Linked DNA regions of Struthio camelus. The protein of the gene in region 2 interacts with the protein of the main gene of each other region in a pairwise test. Links are inferred from orthologs where the notes say so. Each region holds a gene or a part of one and is shown on either strand. Other genes may lie near its edges.

Region 1 (7,163 bases), on a different chromosome or scaffold from region 2:
TCATCTTGTGTCAAAACCTGTATATGTTAATGAAAATCACTTTTTTCATTAGAAAAAAAATTTAAAAATGAAAAACAATTTTACAGTGAGGAACTTCAATTTAAAAATTATTGAAAGTTTCCAAGACACGGAAAATGTTTAGGTAAGGAAAATGTTTACTTCTTTTCGAGCAAAACTCACTATTTTGACACTTTCAGTAGCTGTGAAGCCAATTCTGCAACAAGTCCCTTACTGAGTCTTAAGGCTTTAAGAAAACAATTCACTTGTGTGAACACGATTCAGTACCATAGCCTGTTTTGCTCCATGTGTTTTGATTTTTGTTGGGTGAGGCTAAGCCCAAGACACTATCTAGATTTTAAATATATCTTTTGCTTGTAATTATTAGTATAAAAAAGTGACATCAAGTAAAATATTAAAGTCGTAGCTACATTTCAACGGTGAACTAATTTGTTATTCATTGCATGCCTGTAGCACTGTCAACAACATTGTTCTTGCTAAAGCACAGGCTTTGTTAACACTAAAACAGTTCTGTAAGAAAACAGAGATGTCAGCATGATCAGTGTATACATGGCAGTAGTGTATGGCCAAGCACGGCAAAGATACATAAGCAGGCTCAGCGATTCTAAACAGTAGGAGTGTTATCACTCATTTCTGATTCTTCTTTGAAACACCTTGAATTTGTGATATCTGTATAGCACAGCTGCCATCACACTATGCGTTTTGGTGGAGATGGAGGAAGCTTTAGAATTTAACTAGAGATGACTAAAGTCCTAAAGAGCTGAATTCAATTCATTCTTAATTTTTTTTATTAAAAGAATAGGCCTAAAGGGGAATGAAAACGCTAAATAAGATAGGAAGCCACCTTTCCCGAGAAAATTGTACCTAATCTCAAGACAAACTGATAATTGGAAATAGCAAGGTTATTCAAAATAATGATGGTATATCAAAGTAAACAAAGCAACTGGATCACACTCTCAACACAAGAGCAAAGAAATATTCTCTGAAACAGAACATTTAAAGAGTAATATGTTCATATGCAGTCCAGCTCCTTGGTCACTATTATTTTCAATGTATGATCTTAATTAAAATAGTATTTAAGTACCTTGCCTTTAATATTTATCCATAAACCATTTATGTGCTATATAGCATCTTATTTCTTCCATTTTACAGTTGAAACAAATGATAAAGTGCATATTGCTAAACAAGAGAGGGAACAACAAACCAACCTTTGGTCCCATGACTGAATACACAGATTTACCCTGATTTGTACTTCTTAGCACTAAATAAGACTTAGAGTAATTTGTCTTTGAGAAAGCGGGTCCAAAACAGAGCTAAGAAAAGAGCTAACAGACACTATAGATAATCACAGATCAATCCAGTGCTCACGCTCATTCCCTAGCCCTTTTTCATTTATCAGAACAGATGTACTCTGTGATGCTAAGTGACTTGCCAAGAGAAGCTATAGTGCAACAGGAAAACTCTGGTTCAACTTGATATTGCAGGCTAATATCTCCACTACTTGGCCATTGATCCTCTGAAGCATCACACACAAAAAAAACTACTTTGTTTTAAAAGCAGTTAAATTGTGGACCTCACTGCCAAAAGGTAACTTCGAAGCCTAAAGCTTATTAAGAGCATTAAATATCCTGACTGACAAGATGTTTCCAACTTCCTGTTTCTGAAATTGGGGGGGAGGGTGGGAAGAGGGAGGAAAACAAGTAAACAAAAGCCAAAACAAACCCCTTCATCTAAGATCTCTTCCTACATGTCCTTAAGCCAAGACCTCTTCCTACATGCCAACTGTTTTTCTATCAGCCACTGATTTCAAAGATGAACAAGAACTACAATGCAGACAGAATTGTTTAAGCCTTATTTCTTTAGGGAAAAAGCAATTAAAAGAATATTACTATCTTTTGAGAATAAGAACATACTGAATTAAACCAAGCATTATAAAGAATTTAAACTACTTAGATAGTTTCTAGCTGATAAAACTAGGGTTTTTTTCTCCGTTTAAATTAGTTCATTTAAAGGTAGCCCTGAAATTGATCATTATGTGATGGCTTACAGCTAATTTTTAAGCACTTAATGCCAGATAAAAACAAAGACTGGACAAAAGAGTAAGTGGGTGATCTCATCTAACATGGTAATTCCTTCTCTTACAATTATTGATGTCTTCCGTACAACTTCCATCTTTTAACAGTTCATTTATATCAATTTCTTACACCAAGAATGTAGTACCTACATTCACCTAGCCAATATGTTTATTTTTTCCCCTCTTGGTACTGCTGTCTCAAGCCTATTTTGTCCCAATAAATGGGCTTCCTTCCTGACCCCATGCTCTGTAGTTTCATGATATCCCCTCATTGCAGAGTTTTTAGGCTTCTGAATCCTAGCCGACCTGGCACTTCTCTAAAAAGGAAAGGGAAAAACTAATAAGGTAGGTAGTTCCCTTCATCACACAACTGTGCTGCCCAGTACCTCACAGTACTCAAGTACAAAGACATTGCCACAGTCTAGTACTCTGTGGGCAGAAATTCAGTCAACATCACAGAAAATTAAAGAGCTATGCAAGACAGCTATTTAATACGCTGTTATTAGCAGTGGACCTGTCAGTTCCCAACCACGGCCAGCAAATTTTCCATACGCAGGTACAAACAACTCAGGCCCAACCCGTATGACACGAATCTTTTTAAAAGCAGGAAATACAAGACACAGCTTCCCATACCTGCAGGCCGACCCCACGTTTCCCCGGACGAGAGGCAGTGCTACCCGAGCGCCCGTCACCGCCCCTCAGGCACCTCCCCGCGCCCGCCTGCCCGCCGCCGGCTGGGGGCAACCGCCGTGGTCCCCGCCCGGGCCGCACCGCCTCGCCGGAGTGGCCGCGTCGCAGGCGACCCAACCGCCTCACCGCGGCCCGCTCGCCGCCGCGCTGACCCGACCGCGCTCACCGAGCCGCGCCGCCGTCGCCACCTCCCACGTCAGGCGGCCGCGCGCGCGCGCTGCTTCTTGGCTTGGGGCGGGGCAGGCGGCCGTGACGTCACTGCGCGACCGTTGCGGGGTGCGCGCGGGACTGGGCGTTGGCCCCGCCCAGGCAGGGGCGTTGCCGCGGCCCCTGGCGGGGGCGGTTTCGGCCGGGCGGTGAGGCGGGAGGTGTCCGTGATGCTTCCCCTGTGAGGGGAGCTGGTGCCCGGAGCGCTCTTATCATGTCTGCTATTAATAATAGCAGCTTAATTAATAAAGGGTGTTTAATAAATATTAGCTGTGATCTGTGTCTGCCCCGGCTTAGTCCGGTATAAGGAAAAAGGGCATTTTCCAGCAGATATGCCGGGCACTCTCCTGCCTCTAGGGAGCAGCCTGGGAGCAGGGCTGGGAATCCAGACTTGAAACATGGCATCTGGGAACAGGCGTCGTGACTGGCACAGGCAAAAACAGCAGGGTATTGTGCTGTAACTAGGGCATCTAGTTTTGTAATTGCAGCCAGTAGTAAAACAGGAATAAAAACAAACAAACAAAAAACCCAAAAAGCTAAAGCCTAATCATTCCAAAGCTTTAAAATCTTCCCCTTTTAGGCCTCATATTTCAAATTTATTTTGACTGTTACTTCACATGCGGTCATGAAGTGACTTGCTTCTTTGCTAGGAGAGATGCCATGTTAGTGGAGGTGTTTTTTTAAGGTGAGGCTCATTTCTGACCGTGGGGAAGCTGAAGTAGGCTGTTTCCTAACTGCATTGTCTGTGGGAGTTAGGAGCTGCGCTTGCGCACTGATGGTAGGAAGAAACAAAGGAAAATGTTCCTGCTAAATTTCAAGCACCTATCTTAGACCGGGAAGACACCAGAGTGAAAAAGCTGTTAGCAATTTTGAATGTAACCAAGCAATATATTATTTACTTGCTTCTGGAATCTGACTTTAACATAGAAAATTTCAGGCCACATGATTTAAGTCTAACAGAAGCCATATGTGTGTTATTACCCTGTGCATGGTTCTTTACCTGAGCTAGCTGTTTTGGTTGTATTCTAGGTGCCAGGAACGGTATAGATATTTTATCAGAAGGCTCTGATAGACCTAATTTACGTTTTTTCTTAGTTGTTTGGCTGTGCCTGTGCTAATTGTGAATCAATTTTCTCTGACACACCCCAAACCGCAGATCATAGGAAAGTGATAGTAAACTTTGTGCTTAGTTAGTGGTGGCCCTACCCAGCACAGTCTTGGAAGATGCATTTGTTTCTCAGCTGCGTTTAGCTCTGAAGTATATCTAGAAAATTGTTATTTTTTACGATTTCTAGAGCAAAACTTGTCTAGGAATTCTGTGTTCCTGACTAGTGACTTACCTGCTCTTCAGTCCCTTTCTCTACCTGGTGACCTGGAAGAGAGATGAGACTACCACAGATCAGCTTCTGAGACAATTTCTCTCTTCAAATAAACATGAGGATGACATTCATTAGAGAGTATGATGTAGCATGCAGATGAATGAGCATAGTAGATGTGGTTTGAGCTGGTGGGGAGGGCCCTAAACATTGGTTTAGACAGATGGTAGCTTGAGCTCAGGTAATTGTAGATGACATTGAATTATGTTATGTGGATATATGCAAGGTTTATAAGGAAATAAAAAACAGTTTTATGATGGAAAGTGACACTCAGCTTTGTTTCTAAGCAGTGCTGAAAGCACTGATAACTTTATATGCATTTGCAGGATGAATTTACCTCAAAAAGATAGAGTGATTCCAGCCCTGCCTGTAGTATCATGTTGTGCAGTTCATATGCATTTAAGGACATAGGAGCTGCCGTAATGGTTCAGATCAAGTGTCCATCTATTTCAGCTGACCATCAGTGCAATTCCATGTCCTCAAAATTCCTCATGAAGTTCAAAAAAGGTACATGCGAAGTCTTGTATCTGATGTGGAATTGCCCCTCCACAGTCAATACAGGCTGGAGGCTGACGAAGAAAGCAGCCTTACAGAAAACGACCCCTGTGAACTACAGGCTGACCATAAATCAGCAGTGTACCCTTGGGGCTATGAAGGCTAACAGCCTGCTGGGCTGCACTGGGGAGAATGGTTGGCTGACAGGCCAAGGGAAGAAGTTATTTGCATTTACTCATCATGTATGAGAGCTCATCTGAAGCATTGTGACCGGTTTTGGGCTCCTCAGTAGAGGAAGGATGTCGACAAACTGGAGTGAAACCAGTGGAGACCAATAGATGGTCAGGGAGCTGGAGCCCATGACATAAAGGAGAGCTCAAGAGAGCTGGGTTTGTTCAGCCAGAAGAAGAAAAGACTAAGGGAGAGTTATAGCTGTCTTCAACTGCTTAGCAGGTGATTTGGAAGAGATAAAGCCAGACTATTCTCAGAGGTGCACAGCAAAAGGCAATGGACACCAGTTACAGAAAGGGAAACTATTAATTGAATATAAGGAGTTTTTTTTTTTTTTACCACGCAGGTGATCAGATACAGGCACAATTTGCCCATGGAGGCTGTGAAACCTCCATCCTTGGGGGGATTCATAACTCAACTGGGCAAGGCCATGAGCAATTCAATGTACTTGATGCATATGCTTTGAGATGAAGATTGGCCTAAATGACCTTCAGGGGTCTCTTAAAGCCTAAGTTTTTCTGTGAAATAAATACTTAAACAGAAAAAGAAAACACTAAAACAAAAGAGTGGCCATAAGTGGATGCCTGGGTAAGAGTGGGAACAGTATATGATTCTTTATCTCAGAGCTCTCCTACTACAGTTTGGTTCATTCTTAAATATCTAGTTTAATCAGAATATAGATATAGATTAAATAAATCATCTGAAAGACTGCTGAAATACAGGTCAGTCGTGGGTAGATTTAAATGATGAGGTGATAGATTGCTTTTATTTCTGTAAGAGCACACTCTGAGAATAGTTTATATGGATCACTTGAAATGATGCTTCCTAAAGAGAACAATTCAAATCAGTCAGTAGAGAGCGCTCAGCATTTTCAGTAGTTCAGCATCTTCAGAAATAGGCCTAGGTAATCTCTTTTGCCATCATCATCTTCATCTTTGTTTGCAAGAGATACGCTGTGGTGAGCTGTATCAAGGGATTTCAATCTAAACGACCACTGTAGGCTTACTTTTTTTTGTCTGCACTTTTACAGGAATGGCTTTTCCTCAAATCTCTGCTTTTTTTTTCTGCTTTAATAACGTGCAAATGTTTTACACGAGCTAGGCAATATATAATATATAACATGTATGTGTGTGTGTGTACATATATATATATATGCAAGTTAATTAAAATGTCGTTCAGATCTTTGCCTCTCAAAACCTTGGAGGGATCCCAAACTAAATTGTAAAAGTTAGCAAACATGAGTCCCTGGGGACTATGAGGTTGTGAATGAAATATACGGAATTCTCTAAAACCACTCGCCAGTATGCAAATAAATTTCGTTGACTTATTCCAAATGCCATTTTGACTGTAAACCGGTTAATTATCTGATGATGTCATTCTGTGTGGACACAGTGCTTTAAGTCAGCAGTCCCCTAAACACTGACAAGCACAGTAAATCACTGTTGTGAAAAAGATATTAGATAGCTTATCATACTAATAAAAACTTTTGTCATAGAGGAGTAGAAGGTCTTATCTGTGATGTTTATCTTGTTATGAATTCAAACACCACAGTTATTTGCAGATCATTTGTCCTCAAGCAAAGTGAGGAAATGGCACTAACAACCATGTGTCAGAAGGTAATATTCCAGCCTTTTAAAATTAGATCTGTTATTGACCTAAGAATAAATTAGCAGTCTGTTAAGGTGTGAGGACCATCTTCATTGTGTGCTCAAAGTTGCTAGATTTGAGCTACAGGTGAAGGTAATGCACCTAACATCCTAGACAATAGATCAGCATGAAACAGCTGAAAAGAAGAACTTGCCCTTGAGAAGATCAAATCTGCTATTCCACACTCCCAGAGGGGTATGGAATAAAGTACTGGTTAAAAATATGGCCCTGGGAGGGAAGCGGCCTACCAATTCAAAGATATAGAAACAGGTACAGGTATCAGTAGTGACTTACATTTGACTGTAAAACTGTGGCCATCCTGAACATGACTTTTTTCACTGCCCTTCAGTGTGAGCAGTCATTGCATGAGTGTAATCATTAAGTGCTACCTTCCTAGTTTACCTTATTCTTACGCTGAATGAGGA
Region 2 (7,557 bases):
TAAATTATCTTTTCCTACTTTTCTCTTCCTGAAACGCAAAGCACTTCATATGTGACTTCAGTAGAGATGAGTTTGATGCTTTTGTACAGAGTAGCAGCAGGGAAGATAACAAAAAGAACCTCCTAGAGGACAAAGTTCTTCTGTTCAGGGACAGGACAAAAACGTGATGGATCTGCATGAATTTAGGAAGTGCCTTTGCTGTAGCAAGAAGTTATGAAAGGATTAAAGAAGGATTAAAAGAAAAACCCGCACCAAAGAGACAGGCTAGGAGAGTGGTGCCCTTAACAGTCAAAGATGTTGATGGAGTAGGTCAAGACTGAGAGAGCTCACAAGAGAACAGCATTCTAGGTGGCATCTGGAAGTCATGAGCTGTGGAAATTAGTGAGGCATAAAAAGATTCTTCAAGCTGAGTAAGGACACCAAAATCAAGGCACCTTTTGTTTCATTATCTTTCAGACAGTGAAGCAATACAGGGTCTTGCTCCAAGCTCATCATCTTTTACTTGTGTGACTCTCACAGGGCTTGTAGCGGCCACGGTCCAGTTGCTTTTGCTCGCTGATCTCTTGCTGAGTATTTCAGCACAGTTAGTATTTTGCCTATCTTTAAAGGAAACACCTCGCTATGGCCATTGCTCTTTTGAGAAATAGTTTCTCCAGATTCCAGTTTTCATAAAATGTTGGAATCTGAGCTTGATGTTGTAAGTTTATCATTATTAATGACTAGATTTTACTGAGTAGCGCATTGGGACATCAACTCAGGTATGGCTTACTTGGCATTAGGCACTGTATTAACATGATAAGAGAAAGTCCCTGCTTTGAAGATCCTTGCTGTTTGTCATGGAAATTGGCTTGGGACAGAGAGAACATGCTAGTGTAGAACACAGTATGAAGTCAGGAAACAGAAAGACTCTTTTTTAATGATGTCTTGCATAGAGGTACACAGGAATGCTTTGAAAGTGAATTAGTTAATCAGGTAAAATAAGAAATGAACAGGAAACGCTGATGGTATAAATGTTAATCAATTCATATAATTCATACTTGTTTTTCTTTTTTTGCCAACTTGGACAGAACTTTACTGAAAAAGAAAAACATTGACATTATAAGAATGAGATCAGGGACTTGCATAAATATTTCAATTTTATTTATCTTCAAATCAAATGGGACCTGACAAATTTAAATCCTAACGGGGTCATCTAGGTGTATATTGCTACAATGCTTTTCCTCTCAGAACTAGACTGTTAGGTGGCAGAAGTAGCCATTTAGCATTAACGGTTGCACATACAATGGAAATACATCATAGAGAAAAGGGAATAGAAGTTTAATTTTCTTCTGATTAACTCTGGTTTTAATGCCATGATCTCTAGTGGTGGCATTTCTAAATCGCACCAGGTAAAGAAAGACTAGTAGGAAGAAATACAACACTGACAATTGTAAGTTTACTTATTTTTTAAAATTGAGGAAAATACTATTTTAGCCTTTCAATTTACTCACAAAAGCTTAACAATAGGGTCAGGACTCTCCTGCTTTCCTGATATCATCACAGAAGCTAGGGAAGAATGTGGTATAGCACCAGCCAGCTCTCATTACTGCTAAAGGAATGTGGTGTGATTAAACCTCCATACAGAAAGAAATGGAATGTAATTCTTACATGTTGATGTGCTTTGAACACATACCACATGCTGAGGAATGAGTTTCCAGTATATTCTTCTATTTCTAAAGATGGAGAGGACCTTACCTCAGAAAAATTAACTACAAATATCCTCTTCTGAAAATGAGTACTATTTGGTTAAAGACATTTGTTCACATTTTCCAGTGTCCAAAACCTCTAAATCCTTCGAGAAATATCTGAATGCAAAGCCTTCTTTTTCTGCCTATTGGGAAATTCAAGAATCAAAGCCCTTTTTTGTGCAGTCATGGAACAAAAGAAGTTTTTGTAGTTCCACTTTTTTTTTTTCCCAAAAGTTTTACTAACATAATACCAACCACTAAATTATTTTGTCCTTGTGGAGCCTTCTGCAGCCCCGCTGGGGTCCTAAAGATGGTTGAGCTTACCCCCTTCATATATAATTTCCTGCAACCCTTGAGACTGTGTCTCAGTCGCTAACTTCTGGCTGCAGACGACTCGGTGGAACTCCCTCCCGAGTCCAGCAGTGAGGCTGTCATCCAAAAGTGAGCTGTGGGGTGATGCAAGGCACTCCCTTCCCTCCGGATCTCAGCTAGCTACCTCATCTTGAAAGGATTTGTTGCTCAATGATATCAGCCCAGAGTGAAACACGGATCACTTGTCAGCAGTTAATGATGATATTTCCCTGCTTACCTCACAAGATCAGCACTATGGAGTGAAACCTCTTTTCACCCTTGAAATGGTAATGCACAAAGACAAACTTTACTGTAAATGCTTGGCTTATAAAACCCAAAGCAGGATCAGTGAGATATCTATTACCTTAATCTCAGAGTATTTTGAGAACTTGGGGGATAGCACTGGCACAAGAAACTCCCTGGATCATGAAATCTGTGTGAAATTCTTTTATTGGAAAAGTAGCACTTTCAGTCATCAGGTACTGTCAATATTTTTGGTCTCCCGCATTCCCTGCAGTTCTTGGCACTTCGCAATGCTTCCTGACCGCTGCTCAATGCAGTTTTTGCACAGATTCCTCACTGTCTGGCAATTTTACTCAGTGAAGGGGAACAGCGAATAGAAATACTGATTTCTCTATAGAATAGTGAGATATGATGGGACAGAAACATCCGTAGAACACCCAGGGTACATTTATAGTAATGTTTTTACAAAGCCAGAAGGAAAAAAGACTGTATTTTGCACCTGGTACGTTTGTCTGTCCAAGTGCAACCTGGTCTAGGTCATTTCTCCTCATGTTAGTGGAGAGAGGACACAGTCCTGACCTAAATGGGGTCATTACATGTTAGAAAAATCTACTGTAGCCTAGAAATATGTGAAGCATGTGAAAAGTGGCTTTATATTTTGTTTTTCTATTCTGTTCAGCAGTGGCCAGGTAATGTTGCAATATTTGCAAACCAGCTGCCATTTGCTTTATGCAGTTAGTTTTACAAAAGGCTAATAACCTGGCTGTATGAATTCGCAACAGATTGAAAATTTAATATGGCCTTACATCATTAAGGCTGGTTTTATTTATTTATTTTTTAATGCAGGAATCAGGACACCTGGAACGTCTTTGTGGTGTGTCTGTATTTACATAACTAAGAAATAACTTTTTAACTGTTTCAGTACAGCATATAAATTACATCTGTGCTGTGAAATTAATGAAGATTAGACTTGACTAGTTTTAAATGTTCTTTGCTTGAAAAAATGGCTAAGCAATGAATCAGTGCATTTTCTCTTATGCTTTGTCTATTCTGTAAAGAAAGGTCCATTACTAACACTTGCTAATGTTGTGATTAACAGGCATTGCACAGGAAAGAAATAGCTCTGTATGAAGAAAGGGCTCGATCCCAGGACTCCTCCACTCCCAGGTGAATTAACACTGCAGCAGTGGCGCCACTGCAACAGGAAGCACTGAAAACTTCCTCCTGCTGCTTGAGACATGCTGTGGAAGGAAGGAGATGCGAGTCTGCACAACCCAGCGCTCTGAGCACCGCATCCCACTTCCGAGGCCTTCAGTGGACCCCGGTTTGACTTAATACAGCCCAAGCACTGACCTCCGTCCGGATGGGACACCTCCAGGTATGCTTATGGTTCAGTTCTGCCTTCTGGGTGACTTTACCTGTGTTAGGTAGAAGCTACGTTATAAATTCAATGAAGCATGGGTCACGTTTTCATCCCACGTTTGAATCCTCATCCATAGGATGGATCCTGATCTATGACTACCCGTGCGATAATACGTTACAGGCTGCCCGTGCAATGACACAACCGCATGATTTGTGTGCAAAGCATAATAAACCATTAGTAAGGTTATGAGTAAGAAGAGGTGCTAGTCATCTTCTAACGTGAAGGTGACTGTGGCAACCTTCAGGGCTCGTCTGGGAGGCCCCATGTCCTCCACAGGCCCCCCTGAAAGCTGCCTGCCGGTGCTGCGTCTCTCGCCGCCCTCGCTTTCCTGCAAAGCCTGGAAGTCCCTGAAAGAGTCACCGACGGGAGCAAAATTAGGCCAGGCAGCGCGGATACAAGGCAGCTTTTCCCTTCTCCGGGACGGTCCTTTGCCAGACTTGGCTGCTCGTCCCTACAGAGCGCTGGCCACCAGCGAACTAGCCCAAAGTTGAGTGGTTTCCACCACCAGCTTGCCAGACCTCACTCAACGCAAACCATCACCCAGCATCAGAGGTGCTCAGCCGCGCCACCCAACCTCTCGGCGTGCCTTCGCCCGCCCGCCCCGACGGCCTTGACCCCTTCGGCTTTCTCAGTCCCCTCAGCTCTCCAAAAACAAACAAACAAACAAAAAAACCCCACACGGACACCCCGCTTCGTTACGGAGCTCCGCTCCCCTGTCTCCACGCCACGGCCGTGGGCACCTCCCCGCGCCCCACTGCCCGGGCAGGGGGGGGGGGAAACACCCTGTGGGAAGCGAGGGAGAGGGGAGGAGAAGGGAGGCGGCCGCCCGCCGTGCGGCTCCGTCGCCGGCTTTGTTGTGCTGGCCGCCGGGCTCCGGGCTAGGGGGCGGGGAGGCGAGGCGGCGGCATCTCCGCCTCCTCCTCCTCCTCGGCCCCGCTCATGGCGACGCTGGGCACATCCGGGCTTCTCCTCCTCCGCCTCCTCCTCCGGCGGCCGCCGCCGCTGTTGCTGCTGCTGCTGTTGCTGCTGCTTCCCTGAGCGCCCGGCCCGACTCCATTAGCGCGTCCCCTCCCCCCTGCCCGCCCCGTCTCCCTTCCCGGACCTAGAGGCAGGGGGAGCCCCGGGCCAGGCAGCGCCGAGCCCGAGGAGCAGCCGGGGACATGTCCAACCAAGGGGCCCGGAGAAACGGGCCCGTCAAGCTGCGACTGACAGGTGAGGGCGAGCGCGGCGGCGGGGCGGGCGGGGGCTGCCATTGCCTGCCCCCCTCCCCCCCCCCGCCTTCTCCGCCTTTGGCCTCCGCCAACGGTCCGGCGGCGGGAAGGGGGCGAGTTCGTGAGGGAAGAGCCGAGAGGAAGCGAGCAGGGGTTCGGGGGGCGAGGCGAGGCGGCCGTTGCGCGCCGCGCCGCGGGGCGGGAGGGGAGGGGAAGCCCGCCGTCCGCGGGCAGAGGCGCCCACGGAGCCTTTCCGCGCGCCGAGCCCAGCTGGAGGGGGGCGGGCGGGGGCGAGCCGCCTCCGTGTGTATTTGAGATTGAACCTGGGGCCGGAGCAGCCTTTCAGGCCTCTTGTCTCTGTGTGTGTGTGTGTGGAGGGGTGAACTCTTCCCTCGCCGCCCATCGTCTCCCCGCCATAGAGGGGAGGGGGGGGGGTCGTCGTGAGGAAAATGTCCGTGCCCCGCGGCGGCGGCGCCCAGGCTGGCGGTGAGGGGCAGCCGGCCGCTGCCGCCCTCCCCTCCCGGCCCCGCCGCCGCCGCCCTCCTCGGCGCGGGGGGAGCCGGCCGGTGTGAGCTCCTCGGCGCTGCCTCCCTTACCCTGTTCCTCAGCTCCCCTACCACCCCAACCCCCGTGTTTCCCCCCAACCCCCGGCCTTCTTCCCAGTGTAAACTTGAAAGAAACTGTCACACTCTTTGTTTTGATCTCTTTGTTTGTGTCCCCCCCCCCCCCCAGCCGACTTCCTCAGTTCAAGTCGTACCCAGTTGGTTTGCCCTCATGCCTGACGCTGCCAGCCCGCTTTCAGGAGATCGCTTGACCCCTCGTGTTTTTTAGATACCGTCAGAAACTCTTCACCTGCGTGCTGGGAAGGGAAATAAGTTATTTCTAAGTCCTTGAAGTATGTGGTTTGTTTTTTTTTTTTTTAAACAGTAAGAACCCAGGCAAATAGGTTTAGAGGAGAAACTCTGGGGAGCGTTGCTAGAGCTTTCCTGACAAAAAAAATGTGTTTCTTTCCCTTTTGAAAGAAAAGAGTTGATGAAAAATTTTGTAAACCCACACCAGCACAAAACACATACTTTGTGTTCTAATTCTTAGTGCATGAAGGCAAGAGACTAGAAAATAGTAGCTAATATTACTAATACTGTTGCCTTCAAATAGTGTGTTTTACCAGGATAGTGGTTCTGCTGGCAAAAAATATCCAATCAGCACTAAAAAAAAAAAAAAAACAAAGCTGGAAGGGTTGGTATATTTACTTTTAAGTGCCCGTGAAATATTTCCAGCTACTGTCTAATGAAGAGATGTTTTCCTATTTTTTCAAAATATGCTATTTTTACAGGGAAAATGAATGTATCTGCTTATGTTTTACTTTGGAAATACTTGGCCTAAATTTGTAATCTAGTTTTCATAGAGATTTGTGAGTGTCTCTATATTCCACTTAGAAATAAAACTCTTAAAATAAGCATAGCTGGGACTGATGCACGGAACAGTGCTGCCTTGTTTTTACAGTGTGTTTTGTAGCTTGCTCTTTAGGCTATTGCTGTACTGATGCAGTACTTAATTCTTTTTTTTTTCCTGAGTGCTCAGACTTGCTTTATTTTTGAAACATTAAAAATGGTCTGGAGCCTCATGTGAAAGTATGGAAAATACCTGTTTAGGGAGTTGTCTTTTTCACCTTTGGATTTCACGTTCTATATTTATTTTATTTTTATTAAGGACTAAGTATATAGTCATCTGTCTGTGACAATATAAATATGTTGTGGGGGATTATGACCGTGAGCAAGGAATAAGCAGCAGTTTTACTTACAGAGTTTTAGGAGACTGCGTAGCTGTGCAGTGCAAAAAGAAGCAGATACAATCTTAAGACGTGCCTCTGAGTTTTTTGTCGTCTTATATTTTAGGAAGGATATATGCAGAACACAGGATGCAGGCAAAATTGCCTTTATAGGGACTCTTCCAGCTCTAGCAGCTGTTTGCAGTTGCTGAGTACCAGTTCTGGTTTTTTGGAAGTTTATATGAAACATCAGCCTATTTCTCAAGTTAAAAATGCTTGAGGTATTTTGTGCTTTGGTTAATTGCATGTTGTTTCACATAAAGTCATTTGTTATAAGGAAGTTTTACATGTTTAAGGAAAGCTGTTATAAGCACTGAACTGAACTTTATTAATTGAACTGACATGTTGTCAGTTCTTGCCTAGGAATAGTTTTAAGCGCTCTGTGTGGTTTTGATTACCCTTTTTGATTGGAAAAGCAGTGTGAAGACTCTTGAATTCTAAAACTGTTTGGAATTAAAAGAATCTGTATATTCCAGTGTTTTTAAAAGTTTATTCTCAAACTGGCAAATGTTATTTAATCGTAATTTTCTTTGGCCTTACAAAACTAGCAGTCTTCTGTTTTGGCTTGAGTATTTATAGGATTCATTTTGCAATCATTGTGTAATGCTTATCTTTTCTGTTCATTATCTCTAAATTAGATAGTATAGATTAAAAAATGGATTTTGAGAGCTGGATTCAATTAGCAGTTTTTCAGGACATAAACATTAAAGGTTTAGATGGAAAACATTGTTTTGACTGACTGGATAAATGACAGGGTAATGTTTGATGTGAGTC

Evidence for each region. The genes of interacting proteins can lie anywhere in the genome.
Region 1: the proteins of SMURF2 (region 2) and SPART interact in a two-hybrid assay, tested with the Homo sapiens proteins (2 studies listed by BioGRID and IntAct). The link is inferred for Struthio camelus from reciprocal best matches to the Homo sapiens genes SMURF2 and SPART.

The regions. Positions count from the first base shown.
Region 1 is NC_090942.1:196,624,302-196,631,464, reverse strand, and holds the start of SPART (spartin), read right to left. Parts: upstream 3,029-7,163; 5' UTR 2,949-3,028; exon of another isoform or gene 2,864-2,948; intron 2,860-2,863; exon of another isoform or gene 2,726-2,859; intron 1-2,725. UniProt on the Homo sapiens protein: Lipophagy receptor that plays an important role in lipid droplet (LD) turnover in motor neurons.
Region 2 is NC_090960.1:4,577,446-4,585,002, forward strand, and holds the start of SMURF2 (E3 ubiquitin-protein ligase SMURF2), read left to right. Parts: upstream 1-4,549; 5' UTR 4,550-4,904; coding exon 4,905-4,956; intron 4,957-7,557. UniProt on the Homo sapiens protein: E3 ubiquitin-protein ligase which accepts ubiquitin from an E2 ubiquitin-conjugating enzyme in the form of a thioester and then directly transfers the ubiquitin to targeted substrates.